4 linked regions of the Arabidopsis thaliana genome follow. The protein of the gene in region 4 interacts with the protein of the main gene of each other region in a pairwise test. Each region holds a gene or a part of one and is shown on either strand. Other genes may lie near its edges.

The links.
Region 1: the proteins of AT2G25650 (region 4) and AT4G34400 interact in a two-hybrid assay, tested with the Arabidopsis thaliana proteins (one large-scale study listed by BioGRID).
Region 2: the proteins of AT2G25650 (region 4) and TRB3 interact in a two-hybrid assay, tested with the Arabidopsis thaliana proteins (one large-scale study listed by BioGRID).
Region 3: the proteins of AT2G25650 (region 4) and UBC4 interact in a two-hybrid assay, tested with the Arabidopsis thaliana proteins (one large-scale study listed by BioGRID).

Annotation. Positions count from the first base shown.
Region 1 is NC_003075.7:16,442,977-16,449,296, reverse strand, and holds AT4G34400 (AP2/B3-like transcriptional factor family protein), read right to left. Parts: upstream 4,157-6,320; 5' UTR 4,098-4,156; intron 4,090-4,097; exon of another isoform or gene 3,982-4,089; 5' UTR 3,975-3,981; coding exon 3,888-3,974; intron 3,268-3,887; coding exon 2,895-3,267; intron 2,816-2,894; coding exon 2,669-2,815; intron 2,568-2,668; coding exon 2,349-2,567; intron 2,265-2,348; coding exon 2,241-2,264; intron 2,149-2,240; coding exon 2,057-2,148; intron 1,953-2,056; coding exon 1,701-1,952; 3' UTR 1,524-1,700; downstream 1-1,523. Other genes in the region: XLG2 (extra-large GTP-binding protein 2), read right to left, coding at 4,457-5,051, 5,160-5,323, 5,432-5,667, 5,781-5,928, 6,009-6,167, 6,250-6,320.
Region 2 is NC_003074.8:18,486,863-18,492,620, reverse strand, and holds TRB3 (telomere repeat binding factor 3), read right to left. Parts: upstream 3,629-5,758; 5' UTR 3,445-3,628; exon of another isoform or gene 3,259-3,444; 5' UTR 3,171-3,258; coding exon 3,021-3,170; intron 2,944-3,020; coding exon 2,729-2,943; intron 2,625-2,728; coding exon 2,540-2,624; intron 2,428-2,539; coding exon 2,344-2,427; intron 2,244-2,343; coding exon 1,890-2,243; 3' UTR 1,625-1,889; downstream 1-1,624. Other genes in the region: ARLA1B (ADP-ribosylation factor-like A1B), read left to right, coding at 456-551, 641-673, 777-898, 984-1,145, 1,243-1,360; WIH3 (cysteine-rich TM module stress tolerance protein), read right to left, coding at 4,656-4,701, 4,876-5,155, 5,234-5,282.
Region 3 is NC_003076.8:16,536,821-16,542,777, forward strand, and holds UBC4 (ubiquitin conjugating enzyme 4), read right to left. Parts: upstream 3,370-5,957; 5' UTR 3,137-3,369; coding exon 3,093-3,136; intron 2,994-3,092; coding exon 2,914-2,993; exon of another isoform or gene 2,550-2,913; coding exon of another isoform or gene 2,531-2,549; coding exon 2,416-2,530; intron 2,330-2,415; coding exon 2,277-2,329; intron 2,180-2,276; coding exon 2,051-2,179; intron 1,619-2,050; coding exon 1,476-1,618; 3' UTR 1,243-1,475; downstream 1-1,242. Other genes in the region: AT5G41330 (BTB/POZ domain with WD40/YVTN repeat-like protein), read right to left, coding at 1-1,008; AT5G41350 (RING/U-box superfamily protein), read right to left, coding at 5,206-5,235, 5,385-5,494, 5,604-5,957.
Region 4 is NC_003071.7:10,911,580-10,917,155, reverse strand, and holds AT2G25650 (DNA-binding storekeeper protein-related transcriptional regulator), read right to left. Parts: upstream 2,646-5,576; 5' UTR 2,392-2,645; coding exon 2,155-2,391; intron 2,074-2,154; coding exon 1,150-2,073; 3' UTR 940-1,149; downstream 1-939. Other genes in the region: emb2410 (embryo defective 2410), read left to right, coding at 1-83, 175-447, 554-700; AT2G25640 (SPOC domain / Transcription elongation factor S-II protein), read right to left, coding at 3,248-3,448, 3,676-3,735, 4,111-4,231, 4,465-5,576. UniProt on the Arabidopsis thaliana protein: Probable transcription factor. May play redundant roles with GEBP and GPL2 in cytokinin responses by regulating the transcript levels of type-A ARR response genes. Involved in stress responses.

The sequences.
Region 1 (6,320 bases), on a different chromosome or scaffold from region 4:
TGATTCTTTTATAGTTGGCTTAAGAAACTAATTATATGAGGAAAGTAATTAAAGATAATCCGTAAATAAATTTAGTAGCTATAAAATCAAAGTGGTTTAAAGAAGATAGTTGAAACCAGTTTGATTAACAAGCTATTTAGAGTCTAACGTTTCAACTAGTCAGCTTTCCAACAAACAAACAAAAAAAACTCTAATCAGAAATGAGTTATTCAAAGTGGTGTAAATATAAATTCAGGCTGGTAGGTTGGATTTCAAAGCGTTAGGTGACTTAACTTTCGTTAAATTGTCCTCATGTTTACTTCATCTATACAAACTCATTGAGTTAAAAAAACAAATGTTCGCCATGTGAAAATAAATAATAAATTAAGATATATATTTTTTTTTTGAACAAAAAATTAAGATATTTTATGTGCAAAATTTTAGTCTGTAAAAGCGTGCTCTGTAAAGATAGTGACACTGACATGCAATTTGCGAAAATTGATTATCTTCAGGAGAAAATGATTATTTTCGTGCAAAAAGTGGAGCATATCCAAAGAAAGAATTATGCTAAAGAAGAAATCAAAGTTATTCAAGAGAATAGGTTTTTAAAAAATAACGTCAAGAAAGGAGTAAGGACCCACAAAAATGGAAGTATGGCCAAAAATTCACGAAATAAATATCATTCCCTTATCGACATGGTAATGTAACTAGAAAATAACAAATGATCCAAATCAGAGTTTTCAAAAATAATAAAACTTTAGGGTTGGTTTAGTTGTATGTTTACTATGATAATGATTGTTACTATTTTTGGACTCGAAACAGAGTAGCTTGCTCTGTTTTGTAAAGATGAAAGCAAACATTCAATTAAAAAGAAGAGGTTTTCGAAAACGTGACGATAGGACCCACAAAACTGGAATTGAAAAAAAAACTTGTAGGCCAAAAAATTCACAAAAGAAATATCCAACGTCGACATGGTAAACTATAAAATAAATAATGATCCAAGTCAAAGTTTTCAAAATAATCAAACTTTATGTTGGTTAGTATATTTTACTCTGATAATGGAAGTTACTATTTTTGGACTAAAAACAGAGTAGCTACTCTGTTTTATATCACAAAATTCACAATTATTATGTCACAAAGCTTTCAAGGTCATTTCTCACTTCCTCTCACTAATTTGTTCTTTGTTTCTCCTCACTTCTGGTGAAGCAGCTTCCATTTAAGAGAAATCAACAAGCGATATCACGAGGATGAAGAAGGAAGGTACATATTTTATTTAGTTTTCCTCAAAGGTTATATATTTAGTGAATGAGTCCTCTGTTTCTTCTACTTTGATCTTTGTTACAGGAGATTCCGTGGAAACCAGTATACCTAGATTCTTCAGAATTTTCAAGAGAAAATCTTGCCAAAAACAGATTGTAGAAAGAAAAAGCTAAGACAAATATACAGTTTTCGACCTTTCTTTGATTTTTACTCTTTCAAGGATTTTTTTTTTTTTTTTTTTTTCAAGGATTTTTACTCTTTCAAGGGTTTAAGAGTTAAACTTTAGCTCAAAGATTAGATATTGTATTCAGAAATAGATTCATGAGAGAACAAGAGAGAAGGTCATACAATCTGAAGTAGACAATAATGAAACACATAAGTTTGCTTGATCACACAACAAGATGGAAATCAGAGAGATAATTAAGTAGCCAAATCTCTTCCTCTACTCATACTGCTAGCGTCTACAGATCCTTACCGCGGATGACATGGAGTTTGATTGCGTAAACGAAAGTTCCCTTGCGCAAGAGCTCACACAAAATGCGGTCTTCTTTCTTCAACTTGTTCCTCTTGCATATGCGCATCCATCTTTTGATACAAACACGCTGATCCTTCCATTTGGCTGTTTTAGCACTTAGTTTCCCGAACCTGTCGATGTAGTTAACATAGTCTCCAAACCTCAAGCAATAGTCTTTCACCAGTTGTGCATGAACCAACTGTAAAAAAGATACGTACACAAAGCAGACAAGAACGTTAATGAAAACAATCTTTAAGTTAAAAAGAGTAGTAGTATATGAGGACAAGAAGTTGCAGTTCTTACCAGCTCGTATAACCTATTCTTCACGTTTGTCTCGAAATGGATATTCTTAGGATCATCGAGGTATCTCTCAGGATTCTTGATCATGGGATCGACTGTAAGAATCTCAAGAGACAAAAGCATTAGCATCTCAAAAATCAATTACATAATGAAGTGATGGAACTAATTAAGACAACAATGTGATTACCTTTCTTCCTCTTCTTTGCCGCCTCTGGTTCCATAGACAAAGCAATGTTGCATTAAGATAAGCATGGAAGAAATGAAGTTAAAAGTGATGAAAGTAAATGTATTTTACCTTTCCTCTTCAGATTAGCAACCTTATTTGCAACCTTTGGTTTGACAAAAGAGGCAGTGGCTGTGTCTTCTTTATCAGGAGCATAAGAACTGTCCTCCTCACTGATGGAATTCTCTTCAATATCCAATTGACCAAACGTTTCAATGTAATCACTGTCACTGTCCTCCTCTTCGTCTTCCTCGTCATCAGAGGACTCCACAACTTGTTCTTTCTTCTTTCCTGAAAACATCTCAACAAAGAAGACATGATTGTCAATATATAAAACAATCACATAAAGAAACAATTCAAGTTATGCAATGAGCTAACGATGAGTTTAAAACCTTTCTTCTGGCTTTTTGGTATTGTTGGCTTGGCCACCTTGAATTCAGAATCAGTGTCTGTCTCTGTTTCTTCACTGCTTTCAGAATAAACACTATCCTCCTCCTCATCGTCATCAGAATCCTCCACAACTTCCACTTTTGACTTTCCTGCAAACAAAAATCTCAAAAGTCAAAACAAGCAAAATCACATAAAAGCAAGTGATGGGAAAAAAAGCTAACAATGAACCTTTGTCTCTGCCTTCCGGGACTGTATTCTTCATCTCAGATTTAGCACCAGTGTCTGTGTCTTCACTGCTCAGAGATATAACACTGTCTTCTTCTTCCTCTTCCAATTCAGTGACTTCGCTAATCTCTTTACATGCGTCGTAGCCGCGAAAGATACTGACCTCGAATATGTGAGCTCCATTATAGGCAAAGGTCAAAAAGTCTCCATCGTTAAGAGTATTATCCCGAACAAATTTGGGCCATCCTTGTGAAAAAAGCACTTCATCATCCTTTATCTCCGTCGCTACCTTCCAGGAGCATCCACCAGGTCCTCGGAGAATCACAGTCTTGGGGAAACGATGTGGAATGTGATCGTAGTAGGAAACTGGGATCACCTGCTCATTTCACAGAAAAATTGTTTAACTTATAAGCCAAACACTCAATAGATAAGTAAAGACACAAAAAAAACAAGATAACTTTAAGGTAAGTCGGAGAGAGTCATTAAAGAGGCTTTCCACACACAACAAGATTTGGTTTCAACCAAAAGCGTAGGGACAGTTAAAAGAGTCAACTTTCCAGAACCAGACAAAATCAAAGCATCCAGTCTCAAAATTTTATATCTTTCAGCATTTAGAAGCAGAACAAATGTTTCTATTCATCAACAGAAAAAGAAAACAAAATCTGAGCAAAACTACTTTATACTTTGATGAAATTTAGTTCCAGTAACCAAACATATCCAGTGTTAAGTCCATAAATTAAGCTGATTCATACAGAAAGTTTAAATCTTTAGTCAGAAAAAGGAAACCAAAGGGTAGGAATAAGAGCAAAACCCTAGAAACAGAAAAAGCAAAATCTATAGAGGAAGCTAAATGCAGATAAACACAGTGTTTGTTTCATAAAAACCATCAGACATAGTTCAAAGAAACCACTAGGCTAAGAGAATCTACCCAGTTCAAGAATCGTTTGCTCATGAACAGATAAACCTGAAAGAAGAAACCTCGAGAGAAAATCTTACCATGAACTCTGAGCTGAAATGGGAGACGAAAACAGTGAAGAAACGTGGAGGGAGCTGGAAATCATTGCTAGCCATTGAAGAGGCCATCTTGGATCTGTGTGTGAAGAGAGTGAGTGAGAGAGAACGAGTGAAAGAGAAAGAGAAAGAGAAAGAGAGAGAGAAGAGTAAAGAGAAAAAGTAAAGCTAAAATGTTGTATGAAGAGAGAGTACCTTACCTTGACGCTTGAGTCAAATCAACGTTTAAGTTTTTGCAGAGAAAGGAGGTACAATCCTCAGACCCTCGTATTCTGCGTGGCCATTTCAAATTATTTTCTTTTAAACGGTTTGATCTCCCAAACTGAACCGATAATTTATTGCTACTCCGGTCCAGTTCAACCTCAATAACCGTATAAGTAAATGTCTGTTAAACCGGGAAAATTCACTTTATTATTTCTCTATTTTTTTTCCCCTGAAAAATCAATCACATGAATGTATCTTCACACTACTACATATACAACAAACATACACACAGAGAGAGAAACAAACTTATGTAATTTCCACAAAGAAAGAAAGAATTTTAGGAAAAAATATCAAGAGGACGAGCTGGCCTCTATGCTAGTAGTAGACATCTCTTGGAACATGGAAGTTTCTTCAACATGCCACTTGAGAATCTCTCTCGCATACCTCAGTGCATTGTCCACAGTATCACTCTCCAAGCTCACTTGACAAACAAACAATTTTGGCTTAAAGCTCCTTCCACGCATATTTACGGGTTCCAAGATTGAGTCATAGAGTCTCTTGAACTTATATCCAATGTAATGGAAAGCACGCTGAGCCATTGGAGGGTTGTGTCTGCTCGTCTGGTTCTGGCTGATCAATGGGTTGAAGTCTTCAAACCACTCACAGGTTCTTAGAGGAACCTCTTCGATCTTTTCTTCTAGGAGATCAAATTTGGTTAGAACCAAAAGAAACCTTTTGTTAGCTAGGCTCGGGTGAGTCACCATGTTCTCGAAAAGCTGTTTGGTTGCAAGCATCTTGTTCACAATATTCCCCTCACCGTCTTCTATGTTTTCTGCATAGTCTGTTAGTGAGACACAAAATATCACCAAGTCAGCGTCTTCAAACATTTCCAGCAATTTCCAGTTTTCACCAAGGCTTCTCGGATTTAGCCGGATGAGTTGGTACCTAAAGAGAGAGAGAGAGAGAGAGAGAGAGAGAGAGAGAGAGAGAGGGTAAGTTCAACGGTTTTTCATATAGCCGGAATGCAACACAAGGAAAAAGAACAGAACTAACTTCATGTCTGTATCATGTTGATAATCGCTCTCAAGAGACTCTTCTTGAGAAGTTGATGGGAATGAGAAGTCCACACAAGAAAGTCCTTCCATAGAGGAGAGTCCTTCCGCTTGCAATATGTCCATATCAGAAGGATCGTATTCTGATCTCGAGATCTCAAGAATCTGAGAAGAAACAAATTTGGGTCAGTCATCTTTTTCCCCTTAAACAAAAGTGTTAAGGTCCTGAAAGAGCGTTTATATATGCAAGCAGGCAACTTGATGTAAACTTACTCTTTCAAGAAAATAAACGGCGTTCCTGGGAAGTGTATCGCGAAGTCTTTTGTAGGTGGCTTGAATAGCTGGTACTCTCCAGAGATCTGCAACGGTTTGAGCATTCTCACGGCTTGATGGTGGAAATATCTTCAGGTTTCCGTCTTCCTTTTCTTTCAAAACCCAATCTGAAAAATGTTTTAGTCTCGGGTTGATCGAGTTACCTGGTTTTGCACTGGTTTCATCTCCCACATTGCCTAAATCCCAAGAACTCGATCAGTCTTCCTCAATAATCAATTGTTAACTGATGTTTGTATTAGAATATGAATGCATTCTTATTCTAATAGTTTGTACAGTCAATAATAATTACCTGAAGACTGGTCATTGCTCATCTCTTTTTCAAATCTTTCATGTGCCTCAAGAACCATTGCCAGATAGGTATAGAGATTTGTTTGGATTATGAATTTGATTCTTTCACGGTCTTCTAAAGAGAATGAGACGTTGTAGAGAGACCTTGCCTGAAACAGAAGAAGTCAATTCCCGATTCTTTACTAGATGTGAAACATTCAAGTGGGAGGCATTAAGATGAATAGCTCACTTGTTTGTAAATTGTAGTGGCGCCACCTTTTTCGCTACCAATCAAAAGAAGCTTGTTAAGCATCTTCTGCTCATATAAGGGCACATCATATGGTTCTACTGCAGACGAAGCCGGAGGAACTGGCAGAGAGAACACAGCGCAAGCAATTTTTGCTCTCTTCTGTAAAAATAATATCCTTCGTTGTCTTTAGTTTTATATTTAATGTTGTGAACGAGAAAAGCTGGTGATCAGGAAACCATACCTTACTCCAGATGTTCCCGATGGGATGCTTTTGACCTTCTTCTCGGTAAGAACCATCTGAATCGACCCAAA
Region 2 (5,758 bases), on a different chromosome or scaffold from region 4:
TTGTCTAGTTGATGATGATGGTGACAATTTTTCGTGTGAAACAAGAGTGTCTTTATTTTTCGCCTTCCGTCTCTCCTTCTTCTGCTGGTCTGGTCTTGTTTGGTCCTCCAGTCTTGTCTTTGTATATTAGATGTGGATTGTTTTTCTATTCCCAAGGCTTTGCAATTTTTGAAACACAAAAACATAAGTGTCCCAAAAAAAATTTTACTTCTGAAAATCAACGGCGTTCTGTAGGAAGAGAAATAAACTCTTAACTCTGGTTATTGTATATCTGAAATAGAAACTAGATATCGAACAAATATAAAGTAGCTAACAAAAATAAAGTAGCTACTTGCCTCAACTATCTAAATATAAAATTATAGATTCGCTGTAAAAAGACAATAACTTAGTGCTCTCTCTTCTTCTCTTAGTTGACATTTTGAGGAGGACCTATTCATTTGTTTGTTTCGATCAATATGACTTTGCAGCCTAATCTTCAAGCAAAAGAAATGGAGCTTTCTTTGGTAGGACTTCAAAATTCAGGAAAGACATCACTTGTTAATGTTGTTGCAGTAAGTATACTATGCTTCCATTTTGATAATCTCTTTAACACTTATATGATGGTGGTTGGGGATATAATGATGTCTTTTTACTTGTTTAGACTGGTGAATACAGTGAAGACATGATTCCTACGGTAATTGTTACACTGCATCTTTGATCAAATACGGTTTTCGATCCAAAACCTGTTTTTTTTTTTTGGAACAACATGAAGAGATTCGTCTTTGTGGGTTTATCAGGTCGGGTTTAACATGAGGAAAGTGACAAAAGAAAATGTTGCAATCAGACTATGGGATCTTGGTGGTCAACCAAGATTCCGCTGCATGTGGGAACGTTACTGTCGCGCTGTTTCTATGATTGTGTAAGGATCTTAGAGGCAGGTTTCTCTGTTATCTTTATTGCTTGGCTTATTCACAACTTGGTTTCATGTTGATTCCAATTTCTAGGTACGTAGTTGATGCTGCAGATACTGAAAACTTGAGTGTCTCGAGAAGTGAACTCCATGATTTGTTGAGCAATGCTTCGCTTATTGGTATTCCTCTTTTGGTTCTTGGGAACAAGATTGACATACATGGAGCTCTTTCCAAAGAAGCCTTGACAGAAGAAATGTATAGCTCTTTATTCATCTGAACACTCCAAAAACAGCACTAAAGGCATCTCATTTAGCTCGATCTGATTATGCTTCTTGCCTTGTTTTTGTTGCAGGGGGCTTAGTTCGGTTACAAGTAGAGAAGTCTGCTGTCTCATGATATCCTGCAAGAACCCTACCACCATTGATCAGCTCACTGATTGGCTTGTAAATCACTCAAAATCAAAGAACTAAACTTCAACAAGAACATCATATGTTCTCTCTTCTTGATCTTCTTACTCGTCCTCTGTTGTCTGGTTAATGATGATGATGAGTCTTGAACTAATTTCGCGTGAAACAAGAGTTTGTCTTTATTTGTCTTCTGTCTCACCTGCTGGTCTGGTCTGGTCTAGTTTGCTCAAGAGGTTGTTTTCTATTCTTAAGGCTTTGCAACAAAAACATAAGTGTCTCAATTTTTCAACTTCTAAAAATCCAAGGAAACGGAAATAAGCTCTGTATACAAATCAAAGGCCTTATTTATATCTTTTCAAACCAGTTTCAAAATGGTTCACGAGAAACCTGTGAAGTTACTAACAAAACCAGATCAACAGAAGCAAGAGAAGGAACAGGTTTTACATAATCATCTGAGTTAGAAGACACTGTTACTGACTAAAAACACTGCGGCGATTGTAAAATGTTGATTTCGATGCAAGATCGAAACTTGACATAACATGAAGAATTGAAGATATATCAACCGATACAACATCAATGATTTTCTTAATTCTTACCGAGTTTGGCTATGCATTCTATACTTCACAGCTTTCATCGCCGCTTTTGCAAAAATATGGGCAGCTTCAGCTTCGGCTTCTGCTTTATCTGCCTCTCTTGCTGCTTCTTCAGCTTCTGCCATTGCAAATTCTGCTTCTGCCACAGCTCTTGCAGCTGCTGCAGCAGCTTCTTTTTCTGTCATACCCATTATCATAACTTCTCCACCTACTTGGGATTTAGTAAGATTTTTGACGCCATTCTCCTCCGGTTTCGGAGTGTTTTCCTTGTTTCCTTCCAACAAGAGTTGAGGAGACCTTTGTCCTTCTCCTTCAGCCATATAATTCTGAGAAATCCTGTATTTGTGCTTTTTCTGAAAGGTGAGAACAAACGCAAGAAAACCATTGTTAAGTCAGTGCTAAATTTGTGACATTTGCAAGAGGAAATTTCGATCAAAGTATCTCTCTTTATACCTTAACTAATGTTCCAACATTTGTCAAATACTTCAGCCTTGAAGTCACAAGCCGTTTCATATCCGGTTGCATCTTGAAATTCTCCTGAAAATTTACAGCAACACTAAGACCTTGATGATTGTATATAGATGCAGTAAGCAATGCTTAACTATTTACAGACACAACGAATAAACACAGAAGGAAAACTTCATTGTACCTCTATATACATCAAGATCGACTTTCCGTCAGGACCAAATGGTCTCTTCAAGCTGGTAATAGCCTCCAATATAATCTTATCCACACTACAACAAACACATTAAAACAAGCCTATTATATTCCTCACTATTCCCATATTCCACATTCACAGCATCAAGAATTCATACAAATACAAGAAGAGAGACCAAACCTTGTAGAAGGTCTTGGAGGTTCACAAGAACCTGCAGGAGGAGATGGTGCATCAATCTGTTGTCCTCCTACATCACCATTAGCTAAAGACACAATGGTAATAGCTGTAGCGTTATCGTCTTGCCTACTACCCGACAAAGGAGTTCTTTTAAGAGCAAGCTTAGCCTTCTTCCTAGATCCCCATAAAGCTGTTACACTTATATTTCTCCATTTGTCCTGTAGACAACAACAATAGTATAAGTTTCGAACTTTTCTATAATCTCTCTTCACTTTAAAGTTGTTGATGTTTTTACCTTGAGATCCACATTAGAACGAGACTTCAGAATTGTGCTATACACAGGATCTGAGAGAATGGTACGCCATTTTCCAGTTCCATGTTTAAGTACTCCAGCTTTAAGAGCTGTTTCTTCTTCTGGTGTCCACTTCAGCTTTGGAGCTCCCATTCACACAATTTTATCACAAAATTCAAAAATTCTATAGAAACACACACACACACACAACAAACACTTCTAATGTCTCGACTTCAATTCTCTGTGAACAGATGAAAACATCACAAAGATCAATACTTTATAATGAAATCCCCAAGTTTTTCAATTGCATTAGTAATTCAATAGAAACGCCAGAGATTACGAAGACACGCACGAGAAAAAGATTAAAGCTTTCGATCAGGGAAATGGGGAAATTAACAAGGAGAAGAAGAGGAAGAAGAAGACATGCCTGAGAAAGCTGAAGGGAATGAGAGAGGAAGCTATGGAGAGTGTCATGGATCAAAGTTTGAAATCTAAAAATTGTGGCATGAGACAGAGGAAGAGAAGACACAAAAATTTGACCTTTAATCTTTCGATTCACCTACGCATGTTGGAGGATGAAGTATGTATCGATTTTGAGGTGCTTTACTGGGAGCCCTTTATTATCTTCATTTTTACAAATTCGTCTTAAACTTTATAATTGCAAAAATACACCCATTTGATCTATTAGGGATTAATTTATGAAATTAAATTAACAATGCGAGTAAAAGCAAAGTAGAAATTAGAGTAAACAAGAGATTCAAGAAAAATGATTTTTGAGAGTAAACTTGACAATTACAAGAGATTTTTTAGTAATATAATAAATTTAGGGTTTTCGAAAATAGAATTACGGATTTTTTGTTTGGTCATCGAGCTTCTTATTTTTCGGATGGGAATATGTCTAATATTCTTTACCGTATTATTTCTTAAGATTTGAGTGAATCTTTCCTTATCTTCATGGAGGTCGATGCCGAGCTCATCGACTTTTAGTTCTTGGACTGATTTCACAATTCAGTCATATCATTTTGGTGTATTTTTGGTTTGAACCGAGTTAATCGGTGGATACTAAACCACTCTCTTACATTAAATATAAGAAGTGAAGACTCAAGATTATATACGATTTAGTAGTATTTTTATAAAAATTTGTACATTGAATAGTTGATCAACCGAGGAATGGTGGATGTGACATATATGTTTGAGACGGAAAATGGAAATATATCGGACCGTAAGTATAAATTTATATAAGTTTGATGGTAATGCTAAGTTTTGATCACGTTGATACAGTCACTTCTTCTTACATTTTTGATGAGAAAGAGAACAAAATTGGGTTGCTTTCTTTTTTTGTGTTCCTCTAGTTGGAAAGAATGAATGGCTTTTATACAAAAGATAAAACACACATATACAAAAGATGGGTAACATACCCTGAATCAATCAATAGTCATGAAAGTAAACAAGACCTCAAGTCAAATTCGGATTCATTCATAAAATTAAAGAAAATTAAAGAAACAAACCCAAAACGTGGACACACATAACCAGAAGAAGAGATCTAAAATGTATATCAAACACGTCTTTTTAACATGTTTGACAAAATTGAATAGCATCCTCAAGACGGTCAACGGCAAATATCAGCTCATCTTCCGATCAAAAGCAAGCTTCCAAGAGAACGCAACAGCAGAGCATAGCCAAACTGTAATACAAAACAAATACACATTTTATAAGTACCAAACATATAGACTTTGAATATCCATATTACTCCATACCAAAATTTATGAATAATGAACCAAAAAAAGGTATATCATCAGCTTCAAGTATTCAAAACTATATGTTAATATAAAAAGAGAGAGATAATTGGTCAACGCACCATCCTTCCATGAAGCCTCCTGAATCCTTCTTATCTTTCTTATTTTTCGGTGGAGCCTGACCATAATGCGGTGGTGGAGGACCTTGATAAGGATATTGTGGTGGATGACCTTGAGGATATTGCGGTGGAGGATAGCCTTGTGCTGGATATCCTTGACCGTATCCTTGCTGCGGTGGAGGATAACCTGCTGGAGGATATCCCGCTTGAGGATATTGTGGTGGAGGATAACCTGCTGGTGGAGGATACCCTGCTGGTGGATATCCTTCCTTAGGAGGATACCCTGACAAAACAACAACATCGAAACTTAAGAAACAAGAAACAAAAATACCCTAAAAACTTGGAAAAAATTGGGAATTACCTTGAGGAGGAGGAGCACTAACGGGATGTTGTGGGTCTTGATAAGACATCTTCTTCTTCTTCTCTGTTATGCTCTTATCTGAGGGTTTATTTCTTTCTTTATAACGAACTCTTTGCTTCTTTTTCTTCGCTGTGAATGGAATAATAATAGGGTTAGTGACAATGATGATGGATAATAAAGGAGGTTTAGGAGACAAGAGACATGTTCTCTCCAAGGACTACTCTTAGATTTTAATGATTTTTAAATATAACTAAGAAAACTTACATGTGATATAGATGACCAACTCATATTTGTGGAACTGGAATCATTCAAATTAAATTGCTATTGAAATTTCAGCCGTTAAATAACAAAAAGATGACTTTATTTATTTCCTCCTTTATTATACCAACTATCATCGTCCATTCAAATAAAATACACTATAGTATTGAGTTTCACATCATTGATGACTACACACATGGAAACGTATGATCTTATTGGTCAATATCAATTTATGTCAAAGGTTACATTTTGTTGATTTAGAAGTTA
Region 3 (5,957 bases), on a different chromosome or scaffold from region 4:
GAAAACTTCCCCTGAAGTCACACCGACCTTGAACACCGCCGAGAGATTATCCGAGACAGTAACATCAGAGAAACAATCTTGTGCCTCCTTAATCTCCCAAACCATATTCCTTGACCTAACATCCCAAAACCTTATGTGACCATTGACACCAGAAGGACTAGTATGAGAACCAGAAACCATCAACAAATTACAACTCTGAATCCATTTCAACTTAGTCGATGGAATCGCAGAATCAATATCAGCGCCATAGATCTCACAATGATCAATCTCAGACACAGGTAACAAGCTAGAAAGGTCATACACCATAATCGAATTCGAGTTCCTTCTACTAGATTCAAAGCTAGTGAACAAAAACTCATGAGAAGAACCTATGGCTTGAACCGTTGAGCTAGACCTAGTAACGTTTTCCCAATTCAGAGTCGTACGAACGAATCCGCCGTTATCGAGATCGATGATTTGCAAACCAGGGAAATCGGTAGCTCCGGCAGCTAAAACTCCCGGAGATATCTCTAGAAGCGAATCCACGGCGGAGAAATTAGTCAACACAGTCGACTTTTGCCTCAACGACCAATCAAACGAAGTGATTTTGCTACCGTGCGCCACGTGGAGACCTCCGCCGATTACAGTCGGTGAGATACTCGACGGAGAATCTCGACCGTTCAATTGAAGAATCCTAGATCTACGGAGATCGAACGGCTCGAACTGCGACGAATTCGAGAGAGAATCGATTAAGAAAGACTCGATTCCATAGTATCTAGATTCATCGATGAGATCACGAACATCGAAGGCGCGTGATCTAGCAGGTAGGTTTCCGGTACGGAGGATATAGAGAAGAACGGAGAACAAATCGGGATCACGATCGACGAAACGAGTTGTCTCAGTAGCGAGTTGAGATAGGAGAGAATCGGTTCCGGCTAGGCTTAAGGTTTGCTTCGTTGTTTGAAAGATTCGGCCTCCGACGTTGATGGAGACAACGTTCGATTCATGAGGGATCGTCGGAAAATTCATACGAGCAAATCAGAAGACGTTCTTCGCTTTTTTTTTTTTTTTTTTTGGCAGAGGATGATAAGACGGATAAACAGTGAAACTTCAGAGAAGAGGAACAGTTTTTACTTGTACAAGGCTAACACGGCCACTGAAGTGGATGAGATCATCAAATCAAAACGAACAATGCGTTTAGTAAATTTTGGCTATTGAGACGGATATGTACAATGCGTTTATAATCTAAACGATGCATATAGCCTTCAAGAAAAGAAATTACCGAATCAATAACCGGTATAAACCGGTAAGAGAGACTTATTTGAAATTGAAAAGACTAACAATTCGGTTCGGTCTAATAATGTACACAAACGTCCGGTCCGATAAATTAAACAGGTGAACAAAGCACAAAGGGAGAAATAGATTTCACAGTTGAGTTATAAGCAGAGATAATTCATGATCATATACAATAAAACAAGTCCCCTACCAAAGCTGGTTCAAGGATCTGGTTTGCCAGCAATTGCAACATCATCATCATCATCATCCTCATTATCTGAGCCGTATTCCTCTTCACTTAGTTCTTCATCGCTAGACTTATCTTCTGAACCTTCCCCTGGCTTTGCATACTTCTCACAGTATTCTGAAACCGCAAACCCAACAAAGCCGAGCAAAATAACCATCACACTTCCTCAAAATATCCCCAAAAACCGTAATATCCCCATAACATTATCAAGACCTTGTAAATGCCTAAGTCTTTAAAATGATCAGAAACTTTTATCTTCATCATGAGATTCTAATGAATAAATCACTTGCAGATCATTACATTAGCTCCAAGATTTACGAAAGTTCAGTTCACACATAAACCAAACAAAAGCTCTAATTCATTAAAACGAAAAATGACTGAGAGGAACTCTTAGTGTTAAGAATGGTAATCTCGAACGCACACATTAAGAACAGGTCCAAGCAAATATGTGTACCTCACATCAAGCAAATAAAAGAAAAAGAGAAAGAAACTAACAGATTTGTCAGAATCTTGATATATCTCTTAACATGAGAATCTGAGTCGACTTACCTTTAACTCGTTGCTCATAAGCAGGACGATCACGCATCATTAACGCAGCAGCTTCTCCATTCAATGGATCTGATGGGTTTGGATACAGAAGAAGCTGAGGAAGAAATGTCTCAAACACATTCACAAGGTCTGAAAAAAAGAAGAACCAAAAACATAAAGTTAAATCACAACAGCAATCATTTGATCCCAAATATTCAAAATAAACCACATTTGATATCGCCCTTACCGAACATAGGACTCCAAGTTTGGTTAATCACATCTAAACAAACAGAACCCGACCTGCATAAACAAAGGAGACCAAAGATGAAAAAGATTGAAATAAATTGATCCAAAACATCTAGTGGATTGAATTTAAAAAGACTTACAGTTCATCAACATTAGGATGATAAATTTTAGTAATGAAACCAACAGATGGAGATTTATAAGGATAAGCATCTGGAAGCTCAACTCTTATCTTCCACACACCTCCTTGATAGAGACCTATCACCAACACACACATTAAACCCACAAATAATAGTTTAACAACAGTTCTTCACAACTAACACCCGAGTATCCCAACCGAACTTCGCCGAAGCGCCTAACTAATCCCGTGGTGAGCAAACTCGCAAGCCCACCACGAGTAAGTAAACCACACACAGTGTGTAAACATGGTGGAATCGAACCGCCGTAGATCCGAATCCACCACAAATAACGGATTGCAATTTTGACACTAATATGAACAAAATCTAAGAAAACCAGGAAGAATTACAAATACCCTTATCATCATTTTCACAAGTAACAGAATCAAAATAGCACACTAGTGACTGATTTAGAGACAACAATCAACGAAACTGGGGATTATTCTCAGACAAGATCAATCTTACTGTCTTTGGGACCATTGAATTCAACATAGAATTCTTGCATGCCATCGTTGATCGTTTCCACTTTATAATCGCTCATCATCCTGCAATATAAAATCAAATCAAATCAATCATAGAAACAAAAAACTCAAATCAAAAGTAACAAATGAAACCGACAGAGAAAAAAATTAGAAAGTTATTACAGCTTCATCATATCCATTTCTCTGCGTTTGCTTGGCGAAGACATTTTTTTTCTCTGTCGGTTCGCTTATGTTTCTCTGATTTTCTGGGTTTTTTTTTTGGTTTTTGTTCTTCTTCCGGATTCGAGTGGAGATGAAGAAAAATGTGTGAGAGAAAAAGGAAAGATTTTCGTTTATTGATTTTTTATTTATATATTTTCACGTACATCGATGATGGGAGTGAACCACCGAAGGAGATCGTATCTCTAAATATATATCCTTTGTTAGAAATAAGAATCTCACTCCCTTCACTAGTAATAAATTTTGTGATTTTGTTTTGCTTTTTCAATTACTTTCTCCCTAAAAATTTTTAATTATTTTCTCCCAAAGTTAGATCATATTTTTGTTATTTCTTTTAAATCTATAAAGTTTTATAGTAATTATTATTAAATTTTAGAAAAGGTTTTTAATCACATAGTTAAACTATATTTATAGTCTAATAATAAATGACATTGAAACAATGAATCAATTGAACGTAAAATAAATATTTTTCGAACACGTAGATATTTTCGGAATATATTTTATAAAACTTGAATCTGTAAAGTATTTAGTTCAAAAAAATAATTTTTAAGAAATTTTTAAAAAACGTTTAATATACTATTTATGATGATTCATTAAAATCAGTAACTATTTGTATACCTCATTATTTATTAGTATAATCTATTTAACTAAGAATATTAAACTCTCATTATTACTTCCCTAATTTTTCCTCTTTTTTGTTTCTTTTTCTTTTGTATTTGAGATTGTAATGGCTTAAGATAACATATTTGAATAGTCAAATAGTAAATTTTCAGTCAAAATATTACTCGATATAAGTACCTAAAGTATCTCTAAGTATTAGTGTTTATAATTCTTAAGAATATGTTAATTAGTGTTTTTTACAGCAATTACTTTACTTGGTGTTATGTTTTGTATACAAATTAGTAACTAGAACCCTAAGAATATTTTTATACAAATTACTTTACTTGGTGATTTTTTTTGCACATTTTATTCGTTGTTCGCTTATGTTTATCTGATTTTATTATTTTTAAAGTTTTCAATTTTGTTAAATTTAATTTTTCATTTAAACCAATGGCGTGACAAAAAAACCTCTATTTTATACTGTTTTACACAGTAATGGTCACTCAAAACGCTTTTCTGGCGCGTTGAAGTTGTTGGTCGACAAAAATAGTTGGATGGTCATGCCCGATTACAGTCTAAAAACATGAATCTGTATAAGTATTTAACTAGAAAAAACAAATTAGACAGGAAATTTTTTAAAAAATAAAAATATTTGTCCAATATACCATTAGCATGATTCACTATAATTAGCAACTATTCATCTGTCACTTACTCACTTGTGACAAATATTATTTATTAAACAAAGCAATGACTAATATTGCATCTACATGTAACAATATCATTTACTAGATAAGTCTCATTTAATTTGACGTACTCATGTAAGTAAGATGTACGACAATACGACATCACATATTCAACTAATGAGACAACTAAACAAACCAAGTTTCGAAAATGTGAAGAACTAAGAAATCTAAAACATAAACACTACAAACTAGTAAGTATAAACAATTTTCATATTACATATCACAGAACAACATAAAGAAAATAAATAAGCACTAAACCAAACTAAAATCGAACCGTAATAAACCCAATCCATACATAACAAACTCTCAATTTCAGTTTGATTAATATTTTTCTTAAACTCAAGAAAAAACTGAATCAAACCCAAATTGAAACCCCAGCTTTAAAACACTCCTAAAATAACCTATAAACAAGAATTACCAAAATTAAAACATCTAGAAGAAAAATTATCAGTTTTGTCTCGTTTTTTATTCACAGAAGTGAATCTAAAGCACAAACTCTAATTCTTAATCTCCGTTTTTTTGTAGACGATTTGAAACGTCTGTACACAAACATATGTATATCAACACTGACATGTTTCGTAAATCCAACTTTGTGATCAGCTATTAGTGTATTCTTACCCATTTTTTCTTTTTAAGTTTTTCTCTTGTTCTCCAATTTCTTTCTTCTGATACAGAGAGAATTGAGCCTTCTAAGATGCGGCATTTGCGGGTTGCTAGTCAAGAGTAGAGTCAAATACCATTTCCTGCAGAACAAACGGATCCTCTCAGACATATCCCGGGAATTAAAATGAATTTGTAAACAAGCTAAATTGGAACTACTCATTATTTACGGTTTACTTAGAGATTAGAGTTTTTCGACATACACCAAAGAGAAGTGAATAAAAGAATGTACCTTGTTGCAGACGGGGCAGGTTTCACTTCTCTCCATCCATTCTAGAATGCATGCAAGGTGAAAATGGTGATCACATTTGGCTACAAGTTTCGGGTTCTCGATATCATATTCTGAATCAAAAGCACAGACAATATAATAAATAACCCATTCTCGCAGTCATGTAAGGTACGATTATGTTTATATGTTTTTGAGATGTGGGAAAGGCAAACAAGCTTTTACCTTCCAAACATATGGGACAATCCTCCTCTTCCTCTATTGGTATAAAAACAGCTTTTGATAGCTTCGGGTCTATTTCTTCAGTAGATTCAAGATCAATCTCTGTTTGGATTTTGCTATCTGTCTCTTTATGTGAGCATGTAGTTGGAACCCCGAGAGTAATACCATCAACTGTTTCTTGAGCAGACTCGGTATTAGCAGAGTCCACCGAAACCTCTCTTATATCAACACAAGTAGCCTCTTCACCACTAGCTGGTGTTTGAGGAATCCCTATAGGCACATCGAAAGGGGTAGGCAGTGGCGGTGGTATATAAGCATCAGGAGATGATGTCTCTAAGTTTGTGTCTACTACTACAA
Region 4 (5,576 bases):
AAAGTCGTGCCAGTAATTGGCAGGACAAACTTGTCGTGACTTCAACACGTTCTGTTGAACAGGATGCTCTCTCACCTTCGGAGGTAAATTTGAAGTTAAAATGTAGCTGTATTTTGGAAATTGTTGTGTTTTCTTCTTGATGGAAATCTCTGTTTAATAATCTCCCTTTCGCAGGCTGCAAAGGTGTTTGAGAGCCAATTAGCAGAATCCATATTAGAAGGAGATGGACAACTTGCTTTCAAAAAACTTGCAACCGCAACACTTGGAACCATAATGCCAAGGATAGAAGGAAAAGGAGAGTTTGGTCAGGCGAGATGGAGGTTGGTGTATGCTCCGCAGATCCCAAGTTTACTCTCTGTTGATCCAACTGTGGATCCTCTCAAGTCTCTGGCGAGCAACATATCATTTGGAACGGAAGTTGAAGTGCAGCTCGGAAAACGTCTTCAGGTCAGGCATAAACATTGAAATCTTCTTTCTTCTCCATATGGCCTCATTTTTTTCAAAACCTAACCAAAATAAGCACTCCACGGTTCTTGCTGTCTTTTATCTACAGGCCTCTGTGGTAAGACAGATGAAAGATTCTGAGATGGCAATGCAATGGACACTTATTTACCAGCTCACGAGCCGCTTGCGTGTCCTTCTGCAATCTGCACCTTCCAAACGTTTGCTTTTTGAATACTCTGCTACATCACAAGACTAAATCCTTTTGTCTTCCTCTGTCGGATTCATATGGATATAAGCCGTTTGTTGCAAAGGAAGTGCATTTTGGAATAGCATGGTTTTGGTGACTACCGACAAGAAAAATTATTTTATTATTTGGTCAGTCTTTCTTTGTGCACTTCTTCTGGCCTTTTAGTGGTTAAAAATGTAAAAATTACATTGTAAATGCCTTTTGTTAGGGAATGCATATAAAATGTTTTGCCACTTCATTGACTGATTGGTGCAACAAGAAAGTAATGAAATTTATTATATCCAACAATGGACATGGATGGCTCTTCTGGATACTTCAGTTAAAACTGGAATGTCTTACAAACACTTGCCCAAACAGAACAAAGACAACATCCAAAGATATACACTGAACAGACTAAAGCTTATGGCTTACTAAGAACCTAATTAACACCAAATGCTACAACGGCTTATTGGTTTCATCTAACTATCATTAGCTGCCTCTGCAAGCTTGGCGGAAAATCTAAGCTTCTTGATATTCAATCTTCTTTCCTCAACACATAACGCTTTCCATTCATCACTCAACTCTCTTCTTTTTCCAGTTCCAAGGTTCATCAGCTTCTCAAGCTGCAACTTCTTTTGATAACCACTTAAACCTTGCGACATTACAGCCTCAAATGCATCCTGCACAGCGCATAACTCATCATCATCATCGTCATCATGTCTCTCTTTTCCACCAGTAGTCCCGTTCTCTGTTGTTTTCGCTGCCCCATTCTCATTTACAAGTTCAGTATTAGCCACTTCCTCATGCTCCTTCAACATCTCCTCACTCTCGCTCTCGCTCTGCTGTGCTATTTGAGTAGTCCCGTTATTGTCTCTTATATTCTCTGCACCATTCTCATTAAAGGGTTCCTCATGCTCCTTCAACATCTCCTCCTCGCTCTCGCTCTCGAGCTGCTGTGCTTTCCGAGCAGTCTCGTCGTTGTCTCTTATCTCCTCTGCACCATTCTCATTTAACGTTTCCTCATGCTCCTTTAACATCTCCTCCCCACTCTCGTTCTCCTGTGCTATTCGAGCAGTCCCATTTTCAGCTGCGCCATTTCCGTTTACATCGTGCTCCTTCACCATCTCCTTATCCATACCATCATCATTACCAAATTCACCTTGTCCCCAAATCATCGAAGAAAATCCAAAGGCTTCAGAATCACTAGACCTAGTAAATTTCGGATCATTCCCTTCACTGATTTTCTCCCAATGAACATGAAATCTCCTTTTCAACTTCCTGATCTTACTCAAAACCTGCTCCTTGGAGAATTTCGCAACGATAGAACTTCCGAGGAAACTGTAAAACGCATCCCAATCAATTTTGGGATTGAATCCTGTCTTAGCTCTGTAATCAACTAATCCCTGAGAAATTTCGAATCTGGTTTTGAGAAAATCAGAATGCAAAACCAAATCAAAGTGTAACGGAGAAGATGAATAGAATACCTTTAAGATAGAGAGCTCATCTTCCTCGTTCCAGATCCGGACGATCAACGGCGGACCCAAATTCTTCTTCTTCTTCTTCTTTTTCTTCTTCATAGTCTCTTCGCCTGCTTCTGCTGCGAAGGAAGCAGCAGCACGCTTTGAGGAAGGATTCCGTGGAGATTCTCGATGGGAGAGGGTATCGTCGGAGTTATCACCACCACCACAGGAAGAGAAATCGATCTGCTTCGGAGTCACCATGGTAATTGCTTTACACTTGCTGATTCTAGAGGCATGCAGAGAAACCCTAAATCAGGAAATCATATTAACAAAATTGATCAGTGATTCCCAAATTTTCACGACCTTTAAAAAGTGAAACCCGAGAGAAAAAAAAGCTAGTCTTTCCAAATTTCTGAATCGAGCTGGTCAAAAAATATCATGACTGAAATTTTCTCTGCACTTCTGTTTTATAGTATAATCGATAGGAGTGGATTTTGTTACTTTTGTACTTTTTGTTACAGAAAGGAGCAATATATTAGCGGGCTGCGCAAGCCCATCTTACTAATAAAGTGCCAAATATCGGTGACTGTTGAGAGAAAATCACAAAATTTGGAAAGCAGTGTTGCCTGCAACAGAAAATGCATAACAAACACAAAATTGCTAAGGTGAAACAAAAAACAATTAATATCCTCCTCTGCCATCCTGATGAGACCACCACTCACTACATGGTCTAACCATCGAGCCACCATTTACATGAGTAACCCCAAGAGTCCAGTTAGATTGAGGCTGCCACTCTGGTAGTATATCATTGTCATTATCATTATAACTTTGGTTCCTCAAAGGTTCAGATTTTCCATATTTTTGAATAAGCTCTCTTACAGATACAGACCGGCTTGTCCGGTTCACGACAACATCCCCACTGGAAAAATAGTTAAATTCAGGCAAGTCATCATCTTCATCCCGAGCCATGGTCATTGGGCCAAACCCCGGTGGCACATCATCACCATCGTCATTGTTGACCTGTAGCATGTTACTGTAACGAGAAGTATTATATGTGGTTAACGAAGAACCCTTTTCACGGTGGTTCTTGTGAGAGTTGTTAGATAGTGGTGATTTTTTAAATTGTGTGTCTTCTCCATACAACAACACCTATAAGACCATCATCATTTATAGATTTCAAGAAATCGAGTTGGTTTCTCGGAACAATCTTGTTTAGAATCTCGACAGTTCTCCCACGGGTTGGGCATAGGTATAGCTCAACTCCTGAAGCTGGTTCTGCATAACCCACCCTCCCATCTTTAGCGTATGAATCCACCACCTGTATAGTAACAAAACCAAATGCCCAAATTTCGTTACCAAGTTAGACATTCTACAGATATTTAGGAGTGTTTCAATTTAAATTCGGTTTGGGTTTTCAGTTTGTACAGATTCGCGTTCAGTTTTGATCAAATAAATCATTAATATTCAAATAAATCTCAAGTTTTTTTAATCATCTTTTCGTTTATTTGGATACACAGAATCTTGGTTAACTACCAACGCTCATACCTCGGAAATGTTCTCTTGTTCTGTCTTTGAGCACTCTTCTTTGCAGACGAAACACATAACCTGTAACACGAAAGCAAGGTTTCAGAAGTACCATGATGGATAAACGAGTTCATCACATACATATAGAATCGAGAACAAACAGGTCTTAGTTTTATTGGAATATGGAGGCCTATTCAAGAAACATAAGCTATGCAATTGTTCTGGTGAAAATATTTTTGTAAGTCCATCTATCTCCATTGTGATTCACAGATGTAATGTATTTTTCTCAATCATTCACAAATCAGTATTGGCCGTTAATCTCTCCTCTTCTTTCCTAAATGCTTCTACTTAAGCTTGGTTAAACGTCACAGTTAATAGCTTTTGCAGGGGCTCAAACACAGAATGCGTATATAAAACATGTACATTAATGATAGAGGTAAACGTGTAGACAAATACCATTACAGCACGACTCCTGGAATTTGGGAGCTCTCGAACAAACTTCTCAAATGCATCTAATCTGACTCTACCCTTAATCTCGAGCAAAATAGGCCACTCTTTTGTAGTAGTCTTTTCGCCACTGTGAAGCGTAAAAATCAGGTTGGTAAACATGGTATCAATAACAGCGAAGCCATATTCATTAAAAAAACATTTTATAGAGCTGATAAGCACTAGAATAGTATAGATAAGTAGTAACATGTAGACTAAATAAAGAAAGCTATTCATATATGCAAACCTAAATTTGGAAATGTGGAATAAAAAAAAAATACTGAGATAGGTTTGCTACCACTCATGAAACAATTTATTACAAACCTTCTTAGAATGCCGATGACAGAGCTCACAGTAGAAGGACTCAGCTGGAGCACACCTTCCCATAAACGTTCACCATCAGGTATGAAAACAGATGTAGTTTTGGATTTCAAATCAGAACTAGGCTTTGACGATACTATGTCAGCATCCTCAGCGTTAACAGGTGATGATGCCTTAGCCGTAAGTGGTGACAATGCCTCAGCCTTAACTGGTGATGTACAAAGATCAATATTAGCACTTTCTTTGGGTGATGAAACTAAAACCTCCTCTACATCATTATTATCTGAAACAGAAGGTTTTTTCTCAGTATCTGAAGACAAAAAGCCAGACGGAGATTCAGAATCTATGGATGACATGAATTCATCAAGAGAGACAATTGGAGGAAGAGATCCAGTGGCAGCCTGCATCTCATCATCTATTGTGACTCCGTTTATTGGCCCAGTGCTCTCATTAGAGCTGTTCAATTCATTCTTGACTCCAAGAGTTTTCGTGATGGAAGGGGTTTTCTTCTTAAAATTCTTTGTTCGAGACCAGTTAATCGAACTCATTCCAACAGAGACCTCTACAGAACCACTATCCATTGGTTCAACTTCCACTTGGAACTCTCCTTTGTGTGTTTTCCTTACTAGGCTTCTGATATCCACCTCAGTGTCCTGCAGAACAACCATCTGAGCCATCTCTTCTGCTTTTGCTTGTCGCCACTCAGCTAGTTCCTTTGAAGCAAGTTCCTCTGCTGACATGGAACACAATCGCTCTGCTGCAATTTCTCCATACATAACTTTTTCCCTGAGTTTAGGATTACTCTTGTCTTTCAAATTGAACAAGAGAGACCTTCCTTTCTCTTTATATTTCTTATTTACACCACCAAATAACTTAAAGAGTTCTGTCTCTATTTCAAATGCCAAAACTTGTGGATCCAGTAACAATTTTTCCAGGCTCCCATCATTAGCCATTGCACCAATCATTTCATTTTGACAATTGACAGTAAACTCAATGTCCGACTCGAGAGCCCAAGAGAGGTCATTCCCTTGCAAAAGATCATCTTTTGAAAACACATTGTCACTATATGAAACATTGTCTTGCACAAACGGTTTTACAGCCTCAGGTACTTGGGC